2 linked regions of the Daphnia pulex genome follow. The protein of the gene in region 1 interacts with the protein of each later gene in a pairwise test. Links are inferred from orthologs where the notes say so. Each region holds a gene or a part of one and is shown in the gene's direction. Other genes may lie near its edges. The genes, in order: serine/threonine-protein kinase svkA-like and programmed cell death protein 10-like.

Region 1 (2,831 bases):
GACCGGCCTCGCCCGCTCTCGGCCTTCTGGGGCGGACTCGGCTCCAAATCCTCGTCGCCCAAATCGGAGCCCGTCGTGCCCAAGGGCTACAAGCTCAAGCACTCGTACGGAGGATCTACCGGACACTTGGACGCCTACGGAGCCGGAATGGGTGGCGGGATGAGACCGGCTGTCTCCATGCCCGTGGTGGCGGCCGCCGCTGCTGCTGCCCACCACCTTCCGGTGGCGTCGCCCAGCAGCCGGAACAATACCACCAGCAGCAGCAGCAGCAGTGGCAGTCATCCCATTAGCGGGGCCAACAACATCAACAAACATCATCGCCACCAACAACATCGCAACAGTCTGCCGCCGGCCTTGATTCAACATCCTTCGCTGCAGCAGCGACCCAATCAGCAACGGCCACCGTCGCGTGCAATCGGCACCGGTGGCTTAACGTCCCGGATGGTAAAAACATTGGAAAAAAAAAGAAAACTAAAACTAAAAAAACTAAAAAGGGACAAACGGGACGAGAATTATTGCCGTGTGTGCCAATTTCCCCCCCGTGTCGTTTGACGACCGGTCCGTGAATGTCACCTGACGATTTTCTATTAAAAGAGAAAGAAAGAAAAGAAAAAAAGAAAACCGGCCACGCTTGACGCTTCCATGGGCGGATGATTATTAGTCTCATGTTCTTCGTGTCTTTTTTACATTTTTCGTTATTATTCTTCCGGCCATTTTATCCGGTTCTTTTTTTTTTGGCCAGTCGATATGCGTTTTGCGTCGAGTGCTGGCAGCAGCAGGAGGAGAGTGATAACTTGCGAGTTATCTTGAGTAGGTATTCCGTCGCCCCTAGGGCCAGCACTTAAAACGACCTTTTTGGACGTTGGTCAAGACGGGACGGTGAAAAAAGCAAATCGTGTTTTCACCGTTAGTTGATGCACACAAGGCACACACACAAGTGTGTCAAACATTCGGCACTCGATCATCGGTCTGGCCTTAGCCATAAAAAGGCATCCCGTTATGACGTCACGTTTCGCCTTTCTGACTGATTCCCGAATACTTTTATCTAAATACAAATTTTTGTTTTTGTTTGTCTGAATTTTTCTTGGTTGTAGAAAGTGGATCCCGAATTGATCTTCACCAAACAGGAGAGGATCGGCAAGGGCTCGTTTGGCGAAGTGTTTAAAGGCATCGACAACCGGACGCAGCAGATCGTGGCCATCAAAATCATCGACCTGGAAGAAGCCGAAGATGAGATCGAAGACATCCAGCAGGAGATTATGGTGTTGTCGCAGTGCGATAGCCCTTACGTCACTCGCTACTACGGATCCTACCTCAAAGTAAAAACCCAAATTCAAAATTTCTTTTTTTTTTTTTAAATTTCAGACTGACGAATTTCTCTTTTTTTTCTTTGTCTGTTAGGAGACGAAACTGTGGATCATTATGGAGTACCTGGGCGGCGGTTCGGCGCTCGACCTGATGAAGGCCGGCCATTTCGACGAAATGCAAATCGCCATCATCCTCCGCGAAGTGCTCAAGGGCTTGGAGTACCTTCACTCTGAACGCAAACTCCATCGCGACATTAAAGGTGAGAGAAAATTTTAAATAATAATCAACAAAAATGATTTCTTCCAAGAAGAGCACGGCCTTGGCCGTTTGGCTAATGTTGGCCGTCATCATCATCATCATCACCACCTCCCGTTTTCTCTTTCCCCGCAGCTGCCAACGTGTTGCTGAGCGAGCAGGGCGACGTGAAATTGGCGGATTTCGGCGTTGCCGGCCAGTTGACCAACACGACCAGCAAGCGCAACACCTTTGTGGGAACGCCCTTCTGGATGGCACCTGAAGTCATCAAGCAATCAGCCTACGACTCAAAAGTAAGGCGACATTCTGGTGTTGTCCAACCCGTTTTTCCAGTTTTAGTTTTCTTGCTAACGACATTTTTCTGTGTTGGCGTTTCCAGGCGGACATATGGTCGCTGGGCATCACGGCTATCGAACTTGCCAAAGGGGAGCCACCCAATTCCGATTTGCATCCCATGCGGGTCCTCTTCCTCATCCCAAAGAACAATCCGCCTCAATTGACGGGCAATTACTCCAAGCAGTTTAAGGAGTTTGTTGAAGCTTGTCTCAATAAAGATCCCGAAAATGTATAAATGAAATTCCGGTCGGAATCGAAAATTGAAAAAAATAACTTCATTTGATTTGATTAAAACAGAGGCCAACGGCCAAGGAGCTGCTGAAAACGCCTTTCATCCGCAAGGCCAAAAAGAATCCCTACCTGATCGACCTGATTGACCGCTTCAAAAAATGGCGGATGATGCACAACGGCGACAGTGGCACCGATTCCGACAACTCCGACTCGTACGAAAACCGGTTTTCATATATTTGACACTTGTTGGGTTGTTTGAACAGATTCACAAGAATTTCCGTTTGATTTCATTTCATTTAGTGAGGGCTCTCACACGGACAACGACGCCAGCGATCCGTGGATCAACACGGTGACGAGCATCGAGTCGATCGTGGCCCGCAGTGGCTACCCGTCGGATTGGAGCGACAACGGAGGAGATAACAAAGAGTCGACCACTACCAGCAGCACCAACAAGGTGTTGTCATCCTCTGAGCAGCAGCAGCAGTCACGTTCCCCGCCATCTTCAGCGCCGGTCAAGAGTCCGATGAACGGGAATTCCGTGACGGTTGTCGCGGCCGCCTCCGTCGCCTCGTCTACCACCACCAACTCCTCGGGCGATCGAAACCTGTCACGATCCGATGCCGAGCTATCCAAATCGCCTCCCAAAGAGTTGTCCAGTCCCAGCAAACAACCAGACCAGAACAACAGGAGGTTACAGGCCA
Region 2 (3,835 bases), about 6.0 Mb from region 1:
CCGAAAAACGGCAGACTAAAACTGTTCGTCAATCAACCAGCGAGATAAGATAAGGACGAGATCCTGGCTTACTTCCGTTTTTCTGTTGATTATAGAAATGACATCACAATGACAGGAATTATTAATGCAATATCAAAACTTCTTTACCATGAATTGTTGCAAGAGAATCCATTCGCGGTAAATGGGTAAATCCGGAGTAAACCAAAAGGCAACAAGTTTTCCACTTATTAACAAGACTAGATGAGCCTATAATAATTTAGTCAGGGGAAAACGCGATGAAGAATACAGAAGTAAACACAAACTTTAGGACTGAGAGAGGCATTTAAAAAACTTTAAAAGGAAAAGCGATGGATTTTTCTTTCGTTAATTAGTTTCCTTTTGGCAAACTGAAATATTAATTAATTAAATACTTGAGTTTCACTAAAAAAAACTTTTTCAGAGAACTTTTCTCATGACATAATATACGGGACATTTGGGTGGATTACTTGAAGGGATTCTGTTTTACTCCTTACACTTAACTAACGGCGACCTCTTTGGTTCGAAAAGGAAACTGAAGAAATAAAGGAATTTGAAGAGATAATGCATCAAACACGACCAAAATATCTAGAAAATGAAATTTAGAATGGAAGAAATTAGTCAAATTTTGTAAAACCTAAAACTAACACTTTATTATTTAATTCAATTATTTCTAATTTTGATTAGAAATGGAGGATTTTTTTACAATGGATTTAATAGTTAAGCATATCATCACAAAATTTTTTTTTCAGAATTCATCTCTTGCATAGCACTGACAGGCCTTATTCTGTGCTTCTCGATAAGCCTGGCATCCTAAAGCTAATGTTCCTGTGTACATTAACTTTGCAGTCCCTTTGCAGGCTGAACAGAAAAAGGACATTTACTAACATTTTTAGAAAAAAAAAAAAAATTACATTATTACCTTTCATGAACAGCAATGATAATTCTTCTTCATGATTTGAACATACTTTGTAGAGGCACTTTTTAAAATGCAAGTCACACAAATCTTTATCGGCTCCACAGTCATCATAGCAATAATCGTGGGTGTGACAGCATTCTTCTAACTCTTTTAAAGGCAGTTTCTCTTCTTTCCACTGATGATATTATTAGCACAAGAGATTAAATAGAACCAGCACACACAAGGATTTCTTCATTTACCGTATATCCAAATGATCCACATCCATTACTTTCCGGTATGTGCAAAGGATTTGCTTTTCTGATAAATCCTTCAACAAGAAACAGCATCAAGAAGATATTTTAATCCAAGCAAATTTGTTTTTTTATGTAAATTAACCTTTTGGACACGTGTATGGCTCACAATCTTCATCGATAGTTGCGTCAACAAACTGTTCTACTACTTGAATCGTTTTGGCCAACTTAGCAAGCCCATCAAGCCCAGTATGCAAAAAACTTTTAAGGTTGTGCATTGCATTTTTGATTTCATCAAAATAACTTTTTTGTCCGTCGACAAATAAAGCAGAAATGGTCACGAATACTAAAAGAATTCTGATAACTCTTGCTCTTGGAAATGATGACATTTTGAACTAGAGCGATAAGCGTTGCCAGTACGACTGTAAAAAAATTAAACAAAAAATTTATTTCACCAAAAATATAAGAAATCAAATAATATTTTAAAATTCAATTTAAACGTCAAAATCATTAAGTTATAAAAATTAATAATCAATAAAGAATATATTCATTGTGTTTCCTCATTTCAAACAAGGTTGCCTTTTGAAATGAAGTAACAGAACTACGTACGTCAGATCAGATGGTTGAGCGTTATTCCTTTTGCTTATTTATTTGTAAGTGATATGTTTTGTTTATCTTAGATCCAACTGTGAAATTACTACACTGGATATCTCTGTTTCCTTTTCCAAGGTTTTCTTACCTTGTTTAGTACAAACACTTGTCTAGTGGCTTACTTTGATTGAACTCATTCGATCTAGTCGATCAACACACTCGTATTTACTTTCTCTAGACAAGCTAGTTGTAGTTGTGTGTGCAATTTTTCAAGAAATTACGCGATATCCCTATGGAATTTAACTTCTAGTGACACTTATTCTTATTCCAACATCATGCTAAAGCATTTATCAAATGCATGTGACTTTTTTAAGGCTTAAAGTCGCAAACTGTATCTCAACTAATTATCTGTTTTAAATAGGTAATTAAAGTGGCAGAAGCTTCTACAAAGATGACTATGGGAGAAGAAAGCATGTTGTCTTCTTTAGTGTTGCCTATTTTGGTGGGCCCATCTCTGGTAAACTTGGAGAAACAAGATCCAGGTGCTGCCCAACTGCTGAAAGCTGCCTTTAGTAATGCCGAATCTGCCCATCCAGGCCTCTGCCACAGTTTCATTTTGGGACTGATGAAAAAGGCAGAATTGTCACAAAAAGTCAACATGAATGAGAGTCTTTTAAGAGTTCAAGGAGCAGCCTTGGATCAAGAATCACCTGATTACAGAATTAACCGCTCTGAAGATGCCTTTCAGGTAGCTCCGCTTTAAATATCACAATTTCAAATACTCATGATAGCCCCTTACTGAACAGGAACTGTGTAAGAAGTCAGTTGGTTTGAAGAAGATCCTGAGTAGAATCCCTGATGAGATTGGAGACCGCAAAGCCTTTCTGGAGACTATTAAAGAAATTGCAAGTGCCATAAAGAAACTGCTTGACGCAGTTAATGAAGTGGCCGTCTACATAATATTCGGCTCGGGAAAACAGCGCCTGGAACAGCGAAAACGAGAATTCGTCAAGTATTCTAAACGGTTCAGCACGACGTTGAAAGAATACTTCCGCGATGGACAAGCAAATGCTGTCTTCCTGAGTGCCCTCTGCTTGATACAGCAATCCAATTTCATTATTACAACCGTTAAAGATTGTTGTGAATAAGTTTTGTTAAAAAATCTTTCAAGCTGCGGTGAAGGTCGATGCTCGGAGACGTCGCAATTCGGTAGCGGTTTAAGTGGTGCTTCACACACAGTCGTGAATATTTATATTTCAAAAAATAAAAACACAACTTAATCCGTTCTTTCATCGTTTTACACCGTCCATTTTCAGATCAGGTGTGAGTACCCTTGAGGGGGTTGTCTGCATCTCTTCACCCCATTTTTTTTTCTCTCTCTCGTTATCTTATCATCCACAAAATCCTTATTGCTCGCCACCTCCTAGACCGCTCCTAATGATGAAATCCGTTGCATGTTATCCTAGCCCGACCTAACATTCCAGAGAATAAACATTGTTGAACTTTCTATAAGCAGTAATTATAAGCCTGTTTATATATATGCGGTGGTTTCGTGTTATATATATAGTTAAAAAGTATAGAATACACAGTATATCTTCGCAGTCTAACATAAATGTTGAGATTTTATTTGAATAATACAGACCAATTCAAATGTTCTAATCTTTTCTCTTTTGAGCTTCTGAAGAAACACCTTCGAATTTCAAATGTTTTCATTGGTTAGAGCAATCTGTTAAACAGTTTTACTAGCAAAAGGAAGCATGTGTAGCTTTTGAGAGCAATATCATAAACGAAGGGATAACTGCACGAAGAGTATACAGCCAGAAATAAAATAAAACTTGAAAAGTAAAATGTAATAAGGAAAAAAAAACGAAGAAAGTTTCTTCCAATAACAAAAAGTACGCTGTAAACTGGGAGCGGTTTGGCAAGTCTCAATAATAAGCCATTTAAAACAAAAACAAAAAGTAGAGAAGAAATCTACTCGAACAAGTTCCGGAGGATTACGATAGCAATGATTGTTTAAAGTTGTTTAAGTAAACCAAGAAAATGACGTCATAGCAAGAAAGAAAGCTCGTAGTGTAAA

What was found.
Region 2: the proteins of serine/threonine-protein kinase svkA-like (region 1) and programmed cell death protein 10-like interact in a two-hybrid assay, tested with the Caenorhabditis elegans proteins (2 studies listed by BioGRID). The link is inferred for Daphnia pulex from reciprocal best matches to the Caenorhabditis elegans genes gck-1 and ccm-3.

Annotation. Positions count from the first base shown.
Region 1 is NC_060025.1:3,352,682-3,355,512, forward strand, and holds part of serine/threonine-protein kinase svkA-like, read left to right. Parts: coding exon 1-444; intron 445-1,094; coding exon 1,095-1,319; intron 1,320-1,401; coding exon 1,402-1,567; intron 1,568-1,698; coding exon 1,699-1,856; intron 1,857-1,942; coding exon 1,943-2,128; intron 2,129-2,196; coding exon 2,197-2,342; intron 2,343-2,430; coding exon 2,431-2,831. UniProt on the Caenorhabditis elegans protein: Serine/threonine-protein kinase which is required for normal oogenesis and suppression of germline cell apoptosis. Inhibits phosphorylation and thus probably activation of mpk-1 during pachytene stage.
Region 2 is NC_060025.1:9,340,717-9,344,551, reverse strand, and holds programmed cell death protein 10-like, read left to right. Parts: upstream 1-1,750; 5' UTR 1,751-2,090; coding exon 2,091-2,111; coding exon of another isoform or gene 2,112-2,115; intron 2,116-2,176; coding exon 2,177-2,503; intron 2,504-2,561; coding exon 2,562-2,903; 3' UTR 2,904-3,262; downstream 3,263-3,835. Other genes in the region: group XIIA secretory phospholipase A2-like, read right to left, coding at 764-876, 938-1,109, 1,174-1,241, 1,310-1,553. UniProt on the Caenorhabditis elegans protein: Involved in excretory canal elongation during postembryonic development. Plays a role in promoting Golgi stability, ER integrity and vesicle transport probably by regulating the activation of Rho GTPase cdc-42. Involved in fertility.